Linked DNA regions of Astyanax mexicanus. The main gene of each other region encodes a partner of the protein of the gene in region 2 in a complex. Links are inferred from orthologs where the notes say so. Each region holds a gene or a part of one and is shown on either strand. Other genes may lie near its edges.

Region 1 (10,321 bases), on a different chromosome or scaffold from region 2:
TGGAAATTAACGTTATCTGGTTAATCTATCAGATTAAACTATGCCTTATCAAGCAGTTTAGCTTTAAATAAGAGGAGTATATTTAATAGCTGGATCAGATCGAAGTGAACCGTGAACCGCTCCAGAGTTCATTTGGGATTAGACCGAGACCACCTCCTCTAGCAGGTCTCGGTTGAGTTGTTTTGATCAGTACCCGAGTGCAATGACTGTTTTCACATCTGCTAAATCGAACTGCACTAACAAATCAGAGTCAATTTTAACCAAAACAAATATTGCTGGTGTAAAAACGCCCTTAATTGTTGCCCACTCTCAGTCGCTCTCTTTCTCTTCTCTGCAGTATTCTCCAAACATGACGATGAGCGTGTGAGAGACTGAGCAGACTGACACATTGACAGATCCGCTAAGATTCTCATGGGATGGGATAGCGCTGTGTTCCCCAAAGGACTGGAGCGTGGACGGGGTGCAATATTCACTCATCTCCAAACTTTCATCCGAGACCAAATCTGAACATCCCATGAACATGAACTATTCACAAACCTGGACAGTCCATGAAGAGGAACCTGAATATACTCGTATTTGTATATATCACTTCAAAAATGTTGCTCTAGACGTGAGCCTCAACAAGGACAAAGCAACCCAAGAGGTTTACCAGTGAAACTCCTGCTAGATCCCTCATGCTGTTTAGTAGTCTTGATCCATACTTCGTACTTCGTACGTCTTGGTATTGCACACTATATGTTAATCCTCATAGGTCATTTTGCTATGGTCTGCGGAAAATGGAGCAAAGGATTTGTTCTAATACAATGAAGATGGAGCTCTCGGTTTGGTTTAATGTACAGTTTTTCTCATTGCTGGAAGCATCGTAATTGGCCGACTCTCTGCTTTTGAGATTTTCTGTTTCTGACATGTGTTGTACTGACATTGACAGAATTATTGCTATAAAGCTCATTTTCAATGTTTTTAAAGGGAGTCGTTTTCTGATTGATGTAATTTTTTTATTTACATTTTAGCTTAGAAATATACAAAAGTACACGTTTATCTGTTTGTATAAAATCAGATTTCCACAGCTGGGAAAGAAAAAGTCCTTAAATGTTGCTGACATATTACATATACACTGTTTACATAATACAGAATAAACACAGTTAACATTTAAATATAGGCAAGTTCCAAGTTCTTGGCCCAGCCTGCTGGCCCTGTAGACGAGCTTCCGTTACACTTTCATTAAGAACGAGTTGAGTGTGTTTGCACAGACAATTCTAGCCAGATGCCGCCGGTCACAATCATTACAACCCACTGCTCTGCTCTGTCCACTGTGGGTGGTATAAACTTTGATAAACTCCAATAAATCACAACACTTTGCCGTGAGAATGCTGAAATTATTGGTTTTGTAAAGAATACAAAGCTTTTAACTAAAAAAGATAAAACAGTGATGTCCCAGTTTTCTGCAAGAACAAAGCTTTGCACTGGAGCTACAAGGCTTATGTAGCTAACCAGCAATAGAAGCTTATGGACAGCAGGTAGCATCCTGCTGCAGACTGCTTTAGTGCTATCCCCTTTTCACAGGTCTTCTCTTTTTGGATTGAAGAAATGGAGGATTTGAAAAAAAAAAACAGACAGAATATCCTATCTTGAATTGCCTAAAATCTGAGTCTGAGATTTGATTTGTATTATTTTTTGACATTTGCTTTTGATATAATAAGTGCACCTCAGGTCAAAGTTGACCCATATTTCTCCTGTCCATAATATGGTCCAAAATCCATCGTCCAGCTCAGGCCGCAAGCTTACTGTACTGCCCACCTGCGTTGCTTTTGAATGTGTCCAGTTTGCTGGACCTGGTGGACTGCGAGCTGTCCGTCGCCCCGGCTGCCGCCTCGCTCCTCCACCTGCTCCTTCCCGTGAAGAAGTCGAGCGCCACCTTGTGACAGCGTGACGAACCGAAATAGTACAGCAGGGGGTCGAGGCTGCAGCTTGCACTGCCTGCACACATGGCCAGCAGGTAGGCGGCGTAGGAGGAGTCGGCCAGACCTCGTGCCGCGTGCACCGAGTGCATCACAAGGATCACGTTAGCTGGAGTGAAGCACACTGCAAACACCACGAACACCGTAGCCGCCATAAGCACGGCTCGGTGGCGCTTAGCTCGCTTGGCTACGCCGCAGAGAACTCGGATGATGCGGTAGTAGCATGTGGCACTGAGGAGGAAAGGGATGAAGAAGAAGACCGAGACAAAGATGGGGAAGAAGTAGACGTAGTAGGAACGAAGCTGGCGAACATCCAACACGTCGTGGCAGGTGGTGATCTCCAACATGGCCACCCGCAGTGTCTGCTGGGACAAGAGTAAAGGGAAGACCCCTGCACTCGAGAGCAGCCAGGAGGCAGCGCACACGGCCCACGCGTTACGAGGCGTGCGCCAGATGAGCGAGTCTGTTGGGTAGACGACGGCGGCGAGGCGGTCCACGCTGATGGCGGTCACCAGGAGCACTGAGCAGTACATGTTGCAGTAGAAAGCCGCGGTGACCAGGCGGCACAGCCCCTCCCCGAACTGCCAGTCGTGGCCCCCGTAGTGGTAGGAGATGCGGAAGGGTAGCAGGAGAGCGAACAGCAAGTCGGCGCACGCCAGGTTCATCATGTAGATGGCTGCAGGCTTTTTGGGACGCACCCGACGCACAAAGGCCACGAGTGCCAGCAGGTTAAGGGGCACGCTGGTAAGGAAGACCAGGGTGTAGATGGTGGGCACGAAAACTGTAGCCAGACGACTCTGGAGAAACACTGAGGCCTCTTTAGAGATATAGTAGCGTCCTTTGGCCACTGGGAGGTGCTGCTCACGTTCCAGGCCCATACCAGACCCACTGCCTTCCTGCACATCCAGATATTCAAAGGGCTCATCAGTGACAGTCAGGAAGAAGCCTGAGAAGGTCCTCACGATGCTGTGGGTGCCTGAGAGGAGTGCAAGAAGAGACAAGAGATAACAGTTAGACACGATGTGAGGAAATGAGATATGAAGACACCATAAACAAAAGCAGTTCTGGAGGAAAAGACTGTGCAGGCTGCAATACAGAGATCTGCCCTTTTAAAATAGTGCAGTTCCTTACAGTATGAGTATAATAATGGTAATAGAGACTTTTCAGTGCATTTATGATATTGATAAAAATAATAATAATACAGCCCGCACAATATCAATATCCACATAATTATAATACAGTCTGTAAAATATCCAAAATATTATAATACAGCCCGCACAGTATTTACATTATTATAATACAGCCCACACAATATTCACATTATTATACTACAGCCCACACAGTATTAATATCCGCATTATTATAGTACAGTCCACACAATATCCACATTATTATAGTACAGCCTGTAAAATATCCACATTATTATAGTACAGCCCGCACAATATCAATATCCACATAATTATAATACAGTCTGTAAAATATCCAAAATATTATAATACAGCCCACACAATATTCACATTATTATAATACAGCCTGCACAATATCAATATCCACATTATTATAGTACAGTCCACACAATATCCACATTATTATAGTACAGCCCACACAAATAATTTGGAATCAGTAACGTTAATCAAGCGGTACCTCGGCAGAAAACGCATGACGTGAACTCACGCGACTAGAGAGAAACTGTAGTCCAAACAACAATAAACGTGCGCGAGAGACTAATAATAGCGATTAGTGAATCCCCTCAGCTGTACATCACTTCCCTACACTCATATAGAGATAACAGGAGGAAGAGAAGAATCAGAGCTTTGTTCTGAGGCTGAGAAACAGATACAGATCCACAGAGGCTGTAGAGACTCAAAACTACAAAACACCGCTCGCAGAGGTGATGGGTTTTAGAAAACTCCGCCTATTATCAGCAGGAGACGCTTGGCGTCAGCAGCAGCCCAACGCAACAACAACTGGCCAGCGTCCAGCTGAGCGGCGGCACAGCGGAATACAGCGCGGTGTACCGCGTTCAGTGTGTAAGAACCTTTACAATCCAATTTATCATGCATTCTTTATTCCAGCACCCTACTTTTATTTTATCTCCCCTCAAACATACAAGTATATACTATTATTTTAATTGACACCACTAATATACAGTAATTGCATTTTACATTTTTTACATTCACTCTTTTATTTGCATTTACATATCAACTATAAAAATATAATATATTAAAAAAAAAAAAATATATATATATATATATATATTAGTGATGTCAATCGATTAAAAATGTATATATATATATATATATATATATATATATATATATATATATATATATATATATATATCCTTTTTAAAATAGTACAGCCCATACATTAACTTCATTAACAATACAGGCCTTAAAGTGTTCTTTCAATTCAGTACCCTTATTATGTTACAGCCCATACAATATTTTCTTTTGACAGACCCACTTTGTTCTTTTTTTTATTAGTTCAGGCCTTACAATATCCTTATTGTTTTAGCACATAATTTCTAGCACAGTATTTATTTTTAAACAGTACAGTGCATTACATACATTAACTTCACTAACAGTACATGTTAGTGACCTTACAGTACAGCCTTTTTATACCAGTACCTATTTTATAGCATTGTTATAATATGTTCCTGTTATCCACATCTAAGTGCAATTCCATGCTTTAGAATCATTCAAAACTTTTGTTTTGTTTCCTCCCTCCAGATGTTTCATATTTAAACTGCAATAATAAATACAGCTCTACAGTAGGATTTGTTAACTCACCGTTGTCCGGCATCATTGCTGCTGTAGTTCCCAAAGCCAGCAGGACCACTGCAATAAAGCTACGCACAATCACAGCCATGTTAAACGCTCAGCACTCTGTAAACTAAAGTAAACTAAGCTCAGCTCAGAAACTGCAGAAGAAGCAGCTGCTCCTGAAGATTCAGAGTCAGACAGCACACGCAGTCCCACACACTCATTCTTCCCTCACTGCTGGAGTGACTGAGCGGGAACATCCCCTCCCCTCGGCTTTTGGTTACATGTGAACGCCCACATGTTGAACTCAGAACTGAAAACAGGCATTAAACACCCCCATTCTCAAAAATAATAGAAAGTTAACACATGTATTTTTTTATGTTATTTATTTAATTATTTCAGTTCAGCTGTTACATCACCCGTACATTCTTTTAAAAGCTCTACCCAATGCTCCTTATTATTAGATCATTTAAAATATGCACACAGCTTAATCACGTATGAATGGAAGGCACTAGTCGAAAAACAGATTTTTCTGTGGCTTTAATATATTTTTTGGCTTTCCCCATAAATTGTTCAGAAGCAGAGGCAGTAGTGCTTGAATAGTGAAATTCATTCATTTTAAGTCTTAATTGTTCCCTGTTTTTTCTTTCTTTTTGTACAGTGACATCATAACAGTGGTCCACATACAGTACTAACTATATATAAAATATATAATTCAATTATAATACCATTTAAAAATATAATTCATGTACAATTACCGCGTGGAAAACAAACATAAACGAGTTATAAGCCTTCATTGGTAAAGTTGTGCTAAAAGGTTTTTGGTACAATTTAATTGCGATTCTAATCAACACCAATCAGCAGTCAGAGTCAATCAGAGTGCTTAAGCTTCTCTATATGTACAGCTTTAATATGTGGACTCTTAATATGCAGCAAATATCTTATAATTAAATACTCAAAATCTCCATTAACAACAACTGAAATCCCAGAATTCCCAGTTCCGCAGGCTTTTTTTTAAATATAAAACCAGCTTAACCTGAAGGCCTGAAGGCACACACTATTCTCTCACTGTGCATTATATATCAAAGACTTAGTATTAGCATTAGTTCACGTTCCCAAGTGTACAGGCGCTCATCTCAGTAAATGCGTACGGAATTCTGAAACGCAATTCACTTTCCGTAAAACTTCTTGTTCAGCAGGAATATGAGGAGGTTGACATTGACTTTGGCCTTGTCGAACATTTTCATGACAGCGACTCCCTCATACTGAAGCTGTAGAAGATCCTGGAGGAGAAAAAAATAAACGTCAGTTTTCAGCTAAATAAGTAAAAAGATTAAATGTTTCCTCCAAGGTTTAAGCAGCGACAGCAGCAATGTGTGTGTATCAGTGTACTGCTATTTACAGAGCAGGCAGGGAGTGAGGGAGAGAGCCAGCAGGGAGAGCTGAGAAACATCAGGTTTAAGTTTGTTTTTACACTCTTACACTAACCACATGCATTAGGTCAATAAAGCCTTCAGCTTCAATTCTCTCACTTGGTATCAGCTTACTCAGTGTCCTATCTCTTCACAAACTGTCTCTTCTTCAGCTGAAAAGTACAAGCTGTATAGGACTAGGATAATAACATTAGCATTGCATGAATCTGGTTGACTGCATTTCTCTGTATAAATTTCATTCATATATGTGACTTGAGTAGCACTGCTAAAGATTTTTGAATTTTGATTAGAATAGCACCGCTAAGGTAAATGTATGACTAAGGTTGCAATGACAGCAAGCTAAATATGTGACTAGAATAGCAGTGCATCTTTAAAAATTAGAATATCATAGAAAAGTTTATTTATTTCAGATTCAAAATGTAAAACTCAAATATAGATGTATTACGCACAGAGTGATCTATTTTAAGCTTTATTTGTTTTATTGTTGATGCTTATGACTTGCAGCCAATAAATACCCAACAATCAGTCTCTCTAGAATATTATATAAGCCATCACTGATTGGTGGAAACTTCACACAAGACCTCGAGCAGTTTGGACTGTGTGTCTCTCCACTCTTCCTCAAGACTCTGATCTCTTGATTTCCAAAGGAAATGTAAAATTTACTGATGATCAGTGATGGTTTGGAGAGACATGTCATCTGCTGGTGTTGGTCCACTGTGTTTTATTATCAAGTCTAAAGTCAGTGCAGTGTTTTCCCAGAAAATCTTACAGCACTTCATGCTTCCCTCTGCTAACAACTTTTATGGAGATGTGGATTTCATTTTCCAGCTGGACCAATTGGTCTTATGTAATATTGTATTTTTCTGAGATATTGATTTTGGGTTTTCATTAAGTATAAGCCATAATCATCAACAATAAAATAATTAAGTAAATATTGATCACTCTTTGTGTAATATATCTATATGAGTTTTGAACGGAAGTCACATTTTGAATTGAATTACCTAAAAAAAGTAACTTTTCAATGCACTAGTATGTGATTTGTTGGGTTGTTTGGGTTAAATATTTTCATTGGACAGTTATTATTTTTAAATGATAGTTTTGTAATTGCTCTTTCTTAGGAAAACAACACAAAATACATTAAGAATTAGTTTATTCAATAATAAAATAAATGGTGCATGACTAACGTAGTTAGTTACATACAGGATTTTATGGAACACAAGAAGTGGATTTAAAAGTATGATGCTATAAGTTTGAAATGATTCCACTGAATCTGTTTTTATGGGAAATGTTCAGATGAAAAAATTATCTGTTCGGTGTGATTTACCTGGAAATGCAGTTGGACTTTTTCCATCTCCACTCCCAAAAACTTGGCCTTTATTTCAAAATCCCCAACTTCTTCACAGGGTATGATGTCAAACATGACATTTTTGAGCCTGAAATCAAGATAAAGAAAAGTTAGGGCACAATCTGACATGAAGTCGGAAATACAGAAAAAAGAATATCCAGGAATTGTCTTGGTTAAAACAATATTGAAGAGAATGTCGACTAGAGAGAAAAACTAGACTAGACTTCAGCTGCCTAACTTCTGTTGATATGTTTTTGTCAGCTCTTAACAAAAATAAACAGAATAACTGATAAAATAGTGATAAATATACCACTGCAGGGCCTTTAGCTTGTTAACTGAGAGAGAGCAGGCCATCCATCGTACATGCTAAGCACAGATAATGCAGGCGCAATGCTTTAGATCCCTTCCCTCCATTTCCACTGTATTACGTCAAGTCTTCTTATCAGTGATACACATGCAAAGAGCGGCTCTGCACTTGGAAAGCTCCCTTTGGCCTGGAGTAGAAAGACCAAAATAGGATATATAACTGCTCATAATGAGCCACCTTCCCTCCGGTCTCACCCCTGAACGGCGCTGAGCCAGCACTCCACTCACATCAAAGTGATTAGCTGCTGCTCCCACCATTCTGTGATCAGTCTCTGATGTTCCCTTCATATCGTTCAGTTTGGCACTGAAGTGTCAAGTAATGAAGTACAAATGCTTTTTTACCCTACTTAAGTAGAAATGTTGGTCAATATCAATACTTTACTGGAATAATTCAAACAAATATATGTTACTCTTTCTACTCTTTCTACTCCTATTTCATTTCAGCTTGTTTTCATTCCGGCTTCTTAGTGTTCAAAATTACCCCATCCAGATAAATCTCTCTATCCAGATAGACTGAATCTGATTGTGGTTGGATATTGAGAAGCATATATCATTCTGACACCCTATTGGTTTATAAGAGTCCACTTTAAAATGATGAGTTTCTTTGATTTTACCAAATTGAAAACCTCTGGAATCTAATCAAGAGGAAGATGGATGATCACAAACCATCAAATTAAGCTGAACTGCTTGAATCTTTGTACCAGGAGTGGCATAAAGTTATCCAAAAGCAGTGTGTAAGACTGGTGGAGGAGATATATTTTTTAGGGGATTTTGGGAGAAATGTCTGTAGTTTATAGAATAAAACAACAATATTCATTTTACTCAAACATATACCTATAAATAGCAAAAAAAAGAAAAGAAAAGATGATTCAGAAACTGAAATGGTCTTTTCATTTTTTTCAGAGCTGTATGTAGTCGAGTATGAAGGTGATCCGTCACTCAAGAGTCTCATTTTATATATTTGCTTTGTACTGAAATACAATTCAGTACAATACAAATACAGTACAATTTTCAATGGTGGTATATGCAGCTGAAACTGGGAGCCTAGTGCATCCCAAATTTTTCAACATTAACATTTTAATACAATATTGCAGTCATTATGCCTTTTAGAAAAATGTATTTTTTGTCTTAATGACATTTTTCCCCTTACATTACTTTTACTTTTATACTATAAGCAGTACTTTTACACTTTTACTTAAGAGTAAAAAGCTTATGTTGAGCTATTTTAAACTCTACTATTTATACTTCTACCGACAGAGTAATAATTCTAAATACTTAATACTTTTGGCACAGAGTTGATGAAACTGATCTGAGTGAGCCAGATCATGTTGTTATTATTGAGTGTTATAAACACAGTAGCTGGCCTACATCAAACATGAGTGGGAATTCTGGGAGTGGGAGTCTTTCTGGAATGTTATTTCACACTGGACTAAATCATAGATGGAGGCGCTTGCATTAATATGAGCTCAGTTTACCTCATTAAAAACTTTGGGCACAATTTTTGGTGAACTAAGCATGCTTTTTTTTCATAAAATATGTGAATCTTAAACATAAAGGAATCTTCATTTCCTCAAAAAAAAACACCATACAGTGGCTTTCAGAAATATTCATACCCCTTGAACTTTTTCACATTTGGTCATCTTACAACCACAAACATATATACAAACATAGAGATTTTAAATGATAGGCCAAAACAAAATAGCACATAAGTAAGAAGTGGAATGTTTTCTCATTTTTAATCAAACATCTAAATATCTAAGTGTGATATGCAAAAGTATTCAGCCCCCTATATCAATGCTTAGTAGAGCCACCTTTCACTGCAATTACAGCTGCAAGTCTTTTGATGTTTGTCTCTACCAGATTTGGGCATCTAGAGACTGAGATTTTTGCCCCATTCTTTTTTCCAAAAAAGCTGTGAACAGCAATCTTCAGAACTTTCATGTCTTGCCACAGGCGCTTAATGGAATTTAGGTCAGGATGTTGACTGGGACATTTAAATACATAAATGTTCTTAGAGCTTAACCATTTCACTGTAGCTTTGGCTGTAAGTTTAGGGTCATTGTCTTGCTGGAAGGTGACTCTCCTTTCCAATCTCTTGTCATCAAATGCAAGTAAATCATTATAGCAATGCTGCACAATGCAGTAGAAAGCCTTTTTCCATGGATGTAGAGAGAAGTTACTGCAACAAAAGCAGGATATACTATTTGTAATACCCTAGTTTTTAGAAGAAAAAATTGTATGAGCTGATTTTCCAATACTGTTGTCCATTTGTACAGGGGTTGGACAATGAAACTGAAACACCTGGTTTTAGGCCACAATAATTTATTGTCCCGATGGACAGTTCTGGTGGAAACAGGAGAGTTGAGGTGCACATTAAACTCTGCCGTGATTTGAGTAGCCGTGGTTTTATGTTTTTTGGATACAATCCGGGTTAGCACCCGAACATCCCTTTCA
Region 2 (10,478 bases):
GTCAGCTGTGCAAAACAAGTACATCTATTGCAAAACCTATATAAATACCGCTATTAATGTTGTAAAATTCATTAGTTTCAGCAGCATTTTCGAAGATGTATTTATTATTTTAGAAGAGTATTACATTTTAACAAAATCCTGTTGATTGCACAATGACTTGCAATAGGGAGAATGGTGTCTCAGTCATAACCACCCCAAACATAGAAAGGTTCCTAGCCGTCACAAGCAAACCGCATAAATCCTGTAATATTACTATTATGTGTGGACATGCTTCTTTTTATTGAGATATTGGTTCTGTATCTCTTAAATTGCAGATAAATGCATGTGTTCACCTGTCAGTGATTTTCAGTTTTCAGTTTGAAGGATGATGTTGCCCTAACACTCGCTCTACCGCCTAACAAGAATAAGGACACACTAAGTGGCACGGCCAAGGGAAAAATGGGAAAGGGCCTTAACCTTGCATCTAGTATGTTGACATGCAAATTTTAAGGAACAGAAACAAATGTCATGAACTTAATATCAGGTTATACTTACATGGACAGAAAAGTGACCAGTACTTTTAAATACCGGGTGGGCCCTTCTAAAAAATAGTGAACTGAGAATAAATACACCTCCTGCTATTGCTAAAATTTTTACCTTCTTCTCCTTGGCCGAAGCTGCGAGGGCTAAAGAAAGCAGTTCTTTTCTCTGTAGTGGTCCTCTTCCGATCAGAGTCCTGTTCTACCATCCCTACCAAGGGAGCATCTTAAAGACAAGAGAGAAGACATCTTGTTTGAGAAGTAAAAAAATGTTAATATTTTAATTTAATATTTTAGTAGACATTTGCAGTGTATTTAGTGTAATATGCATTTTTTAAATAATCATAGCAAGACACAAGCCAGGGTTATACATCTGCATCACACTGCAATATAAAAAAATGGGTGTGAGGTTAATTTGAGAAAATGGACAGCATTAATTTGGTGTACCTTCTTGTTGTGATCACCAGTAATAAAAGCACTTTTATCAGTACCATTGCTCACCACATAGCTCTAGGTTACAGTAATCGACAGTGATGGTTCCAGCAGCACTCTTCACATAGCACCATGGTCCCTCCAGATCTCCATCGGGGTTCCTGCAGTGGTTCTTCACTAGTTGTATATCTGGTTTGAACTCCTTCCCCACACTCAAAGCCTTCACCTTAGGCAAGTTCCACTCCAGGCAGGTGTGGCCACCCAGAGTCACAGACAGATCTCCAGTGTAAGTTTCTCCATTGCCAGCAATACATTTGGTCTTAGCATAGCGCTCCTCTATAGTCCCCACTTTGACGGTTGGAACTGGCTGCAAGGTCTCTCCTGCGGAACAGGGGAACAGCTGAAATATACCACTTCTACTGGTTGAACTTATAGACTAAAGTTATGGTTTATTGCACAAAATCACAGAAACAAATCCAACTGACAGAAATGTTCTTTTCAATGGTTTTTAAGTGTATTTACAGGAGATGTAAATATGTTTAATACTAAATAAAAAAATACTAAAACTAAAGCCAAAAACTAAATAATAATAGTCAACAAAATAAAAAATACAATAAAAATGTGCAAATTACATAAAACCTACAACATGTTTTCTTTCCAAGCTGTGACAGAAATTAAGCTACATTCTATCTAATTAAGCTACATCTATACCTGGATGTCCCCAAAAGTTTTCCTGCTCTAATAAAAATAAGAAAAAAATAAGAGACCACTTAAAAATTATGAGTTTCTTTGATTTACCTAATTAAATCAAGAGGAAGATGGATGATCACAAGCTAAGTTTTTGCACCAGGAGTGGCATAAAGTTATCCTAAAGCAGTGTGGAGGAGAACATGCCAAGATGCATGAAAACTTTTCTGAACTCTTAAAACTTTATAAATGTGAACTTGTTTTCTTTGCATTATTTGAGATCTGAAAGTTCTGCATCTTTTTTGTTATTTTAGTCCTTTCTTATTTTCTTCAAACAAATTGACAATATTTTATTTGGAATTTAGGAGAAATGTTTTCTATAGTTTTTAGAATAAAACAACAATGTTCATTTTACACAAACATATACCTATAAATAGCAAAATCAGATAAACTGATTCAGAAACTAAAGTGGTCTCTTAATGTTTTCCAGAACTGTGTATCTACAGTAGTTGTCTCACATTTTATCAATTGTACACACAGTACTGTTTAACTTCTACACCAAAGTCTTTGAAATAGAAATTATCTAAAGGTTTAATTGGAACCCAGTCAACCAGGGTGTAAGGTCATTTTTAGCTATACATCCCAATACAGTAAACGGTAAATGGAAAGCAGCATAATATTAAGTTTCAAAACATCACTGGCTGCTATAAAACCAATAAAGGAACTTAAATATAATATTACTAAATGTTTTATTATTTATTAAATAAAATTCTCAATGAAAACTCTAGACTAAGACTAACTACTGATATACTTAATGCCTCAAGACTGAGCTTAATATAAGAAACAGATGAAGCCCTTCACAGTTTGCTATATTATCTATGTTTGGGGTGTTCAGTGCTTTGAGTGAAGCATGCTTTAAGGTCAGTACCACATTTTGCCACTGCACATTTCTCCCTCCTGACAGTGGGGTCGCTGGTGAAGCACCAGGGTCCAGTAGGGCTCTTGTCTGGATTCCTGCAGAAGTTCTCAGGAAGTTTCAGCTGTGTTTGATTAATCTCACTGGAATGGAAAAACAATGCATTAAAATGGATCAAAAACTGTTTCACACTTCCAGTTTTCTCAAATCATTTTGACCTTTAATTTGAAATGAAAATATAATCTGTTTTTCAAACATACAAGTCTTTATGCCTTGAATACTATTTCCATGTTTTATCAATGACAACTACAGCTGTGAAGCTCAAGAGGTCTAGAGAAATAATTATACATACATGATTCTGTGGGGGAAGTTGCTTTTCCAGTATTGACAAGTCTTTCCAGATATAGTGAGGTTAACATCACCACTGTAGTGCTCACCAGTGTTGAGATAGCAGTGATCTGTACAGCACACAATGATCAACACATATATGAATACACGGCTCTACTAACTGAAGTAGTAGAAGTTGCCTTTATAGATTTTAGAGCATCAATGTTTCTTTATCTCAGAGCATCTTCACACCAGATTCCAAATCAATGTTGATGTATTTGATACACAGACTGCATCTCCCCAGACTCATCTTCCCATTGTGTGCACGTTTCATACAGCAGTATAAGCTTAACAGATATATTTCCCTTTGATTCTTGTATTTTTGTTGTATTATCGTTTATGATCTTTTTCTGTTGTTGAATGGATAAATATAGCTTTCCTTGACCTCCTATTTGTGGTCTAAAAGTCAAAACCATCTAGAAAATAGTTTATGTAAATAGTCTGGAACGTGGTTCGCGTGTTCTGGACTAGTGTATATCTGTACAGTTTAATTGCAGCAACATTGGTAGTTGTTTGAATCAAGGACGAATCATGTCCTCACCACAAACAAACTACAGAATGCAGAGTTTACATTTTTTACATACATGTAAGTGTGAACTAATATTTTGACACAGTTATTTATACTAATATACTCTTTTCATTCTCCACAGGAAATTAATTTATTTATATATTAATTTAACATAGATTATGTGCTGTACGCTGAATCCATCTCTAAATCTTATAAAACAGGCTGGTCAAACTGGGAATAACAACCATCTGTATACAATGGGTGCATTTTTTTTTATGAAATGTTGCCCTTACCTTTTTTATTCACACACGTTCTTACTTTCGAAATATTGTCTGGAGTCCTCTTCAAAGTGTTGCCATCACAAGCTGTGGAAGAAAGCAGTACAAAATAGATCTAAACAGTGTTGAGATAATCACGGTATGTTTATGCTTGCCCTGTTTTAATGAGTTTCCTGAACTTTCACTATTGCCATCACATTGTTCCAGAAACAGTTAAAGCTAACAAAACCATAAAAAAGATGGTAATGAGATTAAACTTCTTTATTTTCATTCAATTTTATGAAATATAAACATTATTTATATAAAGTGTTCCTTACATAACATTTCTGTCATTTCTGTGTCATTTTTCAATAGCTTATTATCACTGGCCTGGAACTAATATACACACACATTAAAGGAATACTGCAACTAACAAATGCTCAGGAAGCCTAATAGTACACTGCGTTTTTGTATTGTTCTTGACTGACATTAGAAACCCTTAGATTAAATAAAGTCCAGTTTAGGACTTTGATTTGGTAATTACTCAGAAGGAAAAAAAAACACTGGGGAACACTGCACTTTGCTCCTGGTTCAATAATGTATATTTACATTTCAAAATGTGGTCACTGCTGACTTTGCTGCCTACTGGGAAGTTTGTGGTGTAATGCCTTACCTAAGTATTTCTCCCAAAACTGAACCTAAAAGAAAGAGAAACCATTTTACAAAATGTTTAAATAAAACAAAATTAATCTACCACTTTCTGGAATGGTATGTCGATGAATGCAATAAACAAGACAGTAAACAATAATGGTGTCCACACACAGGCAATTTTCCCACAAGGATTAAGCTTGAGGATTAAGTTGTAGACTACATATTTTTGAAAGGCTTAGTCTAAGACTAATTAAATCCCTGTCTGGGAAAGTGACCTTACAAATGTTATGTTGAGAAGTATTTAATTTAAACAGGATTACATACGTCACATCATGTAGCAGAATTCAGCAGTCCTTACCGTTTTGTCACTTATCTCAAACACCTCTCGAGCCTCCTCATTGCTACAGATCTCCTCCACACACTCTCGCTCCAGATTTCCCTGCTTCAGCTCCTCTAAGAGTGTGTTTGCTCTCCTTACTCGGATAACCTGAGAAGCCCTCTTACTATCGATAAAAACTGACAAAAACGTACACAAGATTAACCGTCTACCTCCACAAACCTATTAACTCTATAGACACACCATTTTACATACAATATATTTGATACCAAAAGTATTAACATGGGTTTCTCACCATCATAGCACAGTGTAAGCTGGAGCACTTGGCTGAGAAGAAGTGTGACAAGGATCGGTGCTGGTACTGCTCCCATTCTTTTACAGGGACTACTGGAATCCTGAAAAGACCTGGAACATCACTGGAGACAAAGCCACAGAGCTGCTAGCAAGCCCCCAAAAACCTTCCACTGCTGCCCTCGAGTTAATATTGAACCAGTGGAGTTCAAAGAGAACAGAAAACAGAGATTGTGTGCAAGCTCATATCACTCTGATCACTGATTCATGATTCAGCCCTGATGTTCTAGAAATATCTAAGGACACTTAGGAACATTCATTATCAACCCATAATATGATATGAATGAAATAATAATACTAAACCAGTCACCAGTCATTTTCCTAAACAAAATGGACTTATATTTGTATGAAATCATAGAATAGCAGTATGTAAATTAAATGTAAAGTATTATATCAGTGGACAGCTTGGGAATGCACACATCTGTATACGCTGTGAGGTGTTATCTTGTGAGAGTGAGCAGTGGCCATCGAGCTCATGGCAATATGGCCAATGTGAATAACTGGTGTTGGAGCGAGGCCTGATAGTGTGTGCCAGATGGATGGGACATAATATTTCTCAATCCAAAGTGTCATATGTGTACCTGGATTATGTCATATGAAGAATTATTATTCACAGTGGACAGTGCAGTGGGTGGTGCAGCAATTTAAGCTTTGACAAATGAAATGTTTTCAAAAATTCCATGACTCCCTAAAACTCCATCCAACTCTAAAATCATCCACTGCCTATGTTCTTTACTGACTCCACCACATCTTGAAGATCTGTGGTACTTAGACTGTTTCAAGCTGCATCAATAAGCAGTTAATTCAGATAGGAATTCAAATAAAACGTTAATATAGAGTTGGGCAATATGAAAATATTTCATTGCATTTCTTATCGTCTGACTTTTTTTGGGCTTTTTAAAAGAAGAGGACAAAGAACAATGACCCAACTGTACTAGTTTTAAATGTTGTCCAGCAAAAAAAAAAAACATTACTTTACTATGCATGAAACAGTACTTGATAGATAGATCTTTATGGATCCACTTGGGAAGATTTCCTCAGGGAAATTTAGATTTCAGCAGCATCATTACAGTAAAACAAGGACTACACACAAGGAAGAGATGGAAAGAATTTGCAATTTGTTTAATGTTATTTAACATACAAGAATCTGACAATGTTGATGCTTTTTGTCTTTGTGACAAAACATAGGGACAAATGATGTGATAAATGTTGCATGTTTTGAAAATGTCTTTAAATTACTTGATATCACATTAAATTTCTTCATTTCTATAATGCGATATAATTCTGATATCAATATTAACAGTATAAATTCCACCACCCGTGGTGTAAATAATCAAGCGCTGATTATTTGGTAAAAAATATTATACCATGATACTAGACTTTCACAATACACAGAGTTTTACATCCAATCAAACTGGGTTGTTTCTCTGTAATGTAATGCACATTTTTCTCAATGCTCTTTAACCACTGATGATATCCTCGATATGCTTTAAAAAAGCATATTGTCAATACAATAAGAAAATGTATACCTATATGACAAAATCTCTTGGCTCCAGCTCTACTTTAAATACTGTGACATAATATATTAATCATGATATTTCACCCCAGCTCTAATTTAATATTTCATCATTGTTATTTTTTCTTAAAAAATATAATTTAAACATGATTTGACTCATAATAAGATAACAGTATCACCAATAATCAGCATGTTCCTGACATATTCGTTACCAGCAGTGTGCCTGTTCAGATCTGGAACAAACAGTGATGACAAGGTCCAGTGGGCAGATAAGTCAATATTTACTGATGTCTCTAACGCAGATGTTACCACTGCAAAATAACCTTCAAATCAAATGACACACTAATAGTCACAATGAGCTTAACATGTTCAGTCTTGGGTGGCTGAATCGATTTCAACAGTTTCTGCCACTGAGTTAGGATCATCATGGTCCTGCATAATGACCAGGGTACTATTATTATTAATCTCTTCTTGTACAATTATGCATTTCTTATTCTCTTCATCCTCCCGTAAAACAATGCACTTAGCATTAGCTTCCAGTTCCTGAACCATGATACACTTGTTGCTGCCATTTGAAACAACAATTTCTACAATGTCCTCACTAAGCTCAATTTGTTCTGGCCCTTCTTCAAAAACTTCAGCACCTTCTCTGCAGTTCTCTGCTAGGGCTTGCACATAAACCACACCTTCCTCTTCTTCTTTTTTCTTCTTGCCTTGACAATGACCTGACTGTCCACCTCTCTTTTTAGGAGTCATCTTTTTAGGTCTACCCCTGGCTGGCGCTGCATGTCCTTTCTTAGTTATTTTCTGGTGGGACTGTAGGTGGCGCTGTAGACTCTGCATAAGCGTAAATCTGGTTCCACATGTCTCGCACTTGTGTGGCTTCTCATCCAGGTGGGACTTCATATGCCTGCGCAGCTTAGTGGCCAACGTGTACCCTTTTCCGCACTGCTCGCACTTGTAAGGCCTTTCGCCAGTGTGTAGGCGCTCATGGGCTCGCAAGGTGTGAGGGTCGCGCAGTGCCTTGCCACACACTGGGCACAGGTATGCCTCACCTGTGTGGGAAATGAGGTGCCGACGCAGCTCCGGCACCTGCGAGAAGGTTTGGTCGCAGTGCTTGCACCTGTATGGCTTTTCTCCAGTGTGAATGCGCAGGTGGCTTTGCAGATTGCCGCGCTGGCGGAAGCTCTTGCCGCAGTCGGAGCAGACGTACGGCCGCTCGCCTGTGTGCAATCGCATGTGATTCCTCAGGGAGCTCCGGTTTGCCAGCTCTTTGCCACACTTAGTGCATTTGATCTTTGGTGCTTGGTAGTCCGCTTCTTTGGCTCTGTGGATTTCCTTGTGGATTCGCAGCGAAGGCCGGCGTGCGAAAGCCTTGCCACAAACATCGCAAACAAAGGGTTTTTCACCCGTATGAAGCACCTGGTGCTCCTTGAGGTCACGTTTGAGCCCGTAGCTTCTGTCACACTGCTGGCACTTAAAAGGCCGTTGTCCACGGTGCATAAGCAAATGTGCACGGTAACTCTCCTGGGAGCTGTAGGTTTTGTCGCACTCTGTGCAAGCATAAGGCTTCAGCTCGGAGTGCGTGAACTTGTGCTTCTTTAGGTGACACAGCTGAAAGAAACTTTTAGCACACAGGTCACACTTGTAGTTCCGCTCTCGTGGGCTGAACCGTAAGAGTTCTGGTGAACCCTCCTTTTCTATCCATACCAGACCAGATTGCTTCTCATCAGAGTTAGAATTTTCAGTGAGGATTTTTTCTCCCAGAGCTGATCCACTTCCAGTGCTAGTTTCTGTAGTCAGCATCTTTTTATCAACACAGGCAGAAGCCGCATTTGTCAGCTTTGCTTGCTGTCGCCTGTGCATGCACCTGCTTAGCGAGTGGACTTTGCGAGGTTTAGCTGCCAGGCGAGGGCTGGCTCTCTCAGCTCCTTTAAGCTGTTCCTGAGAATTGGATTCTCGGATGCTGCACAGCACCCCAGGACTAGATTTATCCTCTGCTTCTTGCTGGTCATTGTCTGTTTTGTCATCCAAAGCAGTCTGTCCCAGATTACCAGTTTCCACGGTTTGAGAGGAGCGCACAGGATTATTTTTTACACTTGAGATTAGTGGCCTCTTCCTCTGAATGTTAGGATGTGTTGTTTTCTGAGCCTCTTCTGAGTTGTCAGTAGGGTCCTTCACCACTGATTCTGTGAAATACACGAAGCATATGTGATACATGTTAAAACGTCAGTCTGAACTTAGGAGGGGAACAAAAGATCCGTTTCTTTACGATTCATGGAGAATTCTATGAACTGTTCTTTTAAATGTTTTCTCCGTCTCTTAACAGCAGTTCTGAAAGGTTTGCCTAGGCCTCTTTTCCACTACATAGACAAAAAGTCTATGCATGGAGAAGGTTAACTATTCCAGTGGCTTTTTCATATAGAACTCCTACAAACTGGGCTGAGCTTAACTTTTTTTTATTTTACTGTGTCTAGCTTACCATACTTGGGGCAAAACAACCGTCCACTGGAAAGGCCTAATGATGAAATCTGCTGACTGGCCCCACATTTGTCTGTCACCTTGTGCTACAAGATCCATAGCTAACTTTCTAGCATGCTCTTTTCTAACTCTGAAATCAGTACATTTCCTGGTGCTGATTTAGCAACACAGCAAAACTAATTCTAATTAGTCAAACGGCAACTATGGCACGGCCTTATGGTACATGTCCACTTTTTTTGGCTGGCAACTTGTGGACATGTCTGCAAAGTTTTTAAAATGAAATTGAAGCAAACGAACAATGTAGATGGAAGTAGGCCATTTTTTATTTAGCAGTTCTATTATTAGTTTGATCCCATTATAATGTAATGGCTGGTTTATACTTCTGCGTTGAGTTAACGCGTTGCCTGCAGTGTAGCTGCAAGAAGTATAAATTGGCCTTATATCTGTAGGTACAGATAATTCCTTTATAAGCTTTTCCTTCTTGTTTAAAATATCTTTGATGTCCTATGTGTGATGCTGGGATGATGTAGCAAGTTACTTGGTGATGTAGCAAGGCCATACTCATTTTTCAGTGAGGCTGCTCTCATTGCAATTCATCCTTTCGTGCATCCATCAGGTAGGCAATCTCCAATTGTGGTAAAAAAATATATATATTAAAATAATACAAAACACACACTAGTATGCGGTGAATAATGTCCTCAGGCACTGTGACTAAGGAGTGGCACTCTGTATAATTTGCTATGAAAAATACTTTCAATATAACACAGTATAAAACAAAATGTAGAGGTGTGTGAGGCCTGAGGCATAATATGGTCTTTAAATTAAACACACAATTTCATGGGCCAATTTAATGCATTTTCTTAATGGCTGCCTTGCTTACACAGTCAAAGTTAAATTAAACCCAAAAGCCATGTCCCTCTAAAAGCTACTGTGCACGAACCTTCACATTCCCTTTTTGAGTCTTGTTCCATTGGGCCAGGGCATGTGGTTTTATCCTCAGTCAGCCCACATGGTGTGCTCTCTTTGCAGGGTTTTTCTAGCTTCACAGTTTGAGACAGATCATTATTCTGCTCTGGCCACACCAGGAGTTCCGTTCCTGGGCTCAAATCTTTACAAGTCCTAAGGCACAGCTTCCCATCCACCTTGTGCACAAGGACATTTCTCTCCTCTTCAGTCGCAGAATTACAGGCAAACCTGGAGAGGCAGATTGATCATCGTGAGACACATAAACAAGCACACTGTAAAGGTATGTAAATTAAGCTAAGCCTCCAAGTCAGAGTTTATTAAAGGGCCGGATTCATAGAAATCACTACTGTAAACTGTTTAATGACATTTCCCTTGACTGTCATGACTGTCATGGCAAAATGTGGTGTCAGGCTAGATAGCTCTTTAGTGTGAAACAGAATTTTTAGTGCTTAAATGAGCAAGTGATAAAAC

What was found. Proteins that work in one complex are often made in the same cells at the same time.
Region 1: the proteins of f2 (region 2) and f2r are in contact, whole or in part, in a crystal structure (PDB 3LU9), measured with the Homo sapiens proteins. The link is inferred for Astyanax mexicanus from reciprocal best matches to the Homo sapiens genes F2 and F2R. Residues at the interface, in NP_000497.1 of Homo sapiens: Phe382, Arg383, Pro386, Gln387, Glu388, Leu389, Leu390, Cys391, His406, Cys407, Tyr410, Trp413, Lys415, Leu423, Arg425, Arg431, Thr432, Arg433, Tyr434, Ile441, Met443, Glu457, Asn458, Leu459, Asn506, Thr510, Lys517, Gly518, Gln519, Arg541; in NP_001983.2 of Homo sapiens: Ala33, Thr34, Asn35, Thr37, Leu38, Asp39, Pro40, Arg41, Ser42, Phe43, Leu44, Leu45, Arg46, Asn47, Pro48, Asp50, Lys51, Tyr52, Glu53, Pro54, Phe55, Trp56.

The regions. Positions count from the first base shown.
Region 1 is NC_064429.1:20,552,954-20,563,274, reverse strand, and holds f2r (proteinase-activated receptor 1), read right to left. Parts: upstream 4,990-10,321; 5' UTR 4,830-4,989; coding exon 4,751-4,829; intron 2,935-4,750; coding exon 1,769-2,934; 3' UTR 1,371-1,768; downstream 1-1,370. Other genes in the region: ssbp2a (single-stranded DNA-binding protein 2), read left to right, coding at 338-367; ras GTPase-activating-like protein IQGAP2, read right to left, coding at 5,893-6,006, 7,481-7,589. UniProt on the Homo sapiens protein: High affinity receptor that binds the activated thrombin, leading to calcium release from intracellular stores.
Region 2 is NC_064430.1:14,447,121-14,457,598, reverse strand, and holds the start of f2 (prothrombin), read right to left. Parts: upstream 5,163-10,478; 5' UTR 5,065-5,162; coding exon 4,989-5,064; intron 4,873-4,988; coding exon 4,715-4,872; intron 4,404-4,714; coding exon 4,379-4,403; intron 3,814-4,378; coding exon 3,742-3,813; intron 3,012-3,741; coding exon 2,906-3,011; intron 2,697-2,905; coding exon 2,566-2,696; intron 1,332-2,565; coding exon 1,020-1,331; intron 745-1,019; coding exon 637-744; intron 1-636. Other genes in the region: znf408 (zinc finger protein 408), read right to left, coding at 6,930-8,749, 9,982-10,235. UniProt on the Homo sapiens protein: Thrombin, which cleaves bonds after Arg and Lys, converts fibrinogen to fibrin and activates factors V, VII, VIII, XIII, and, in complex with thrombomodulin, protein C. Functions in blood homeostasis, inflammation and wound healing.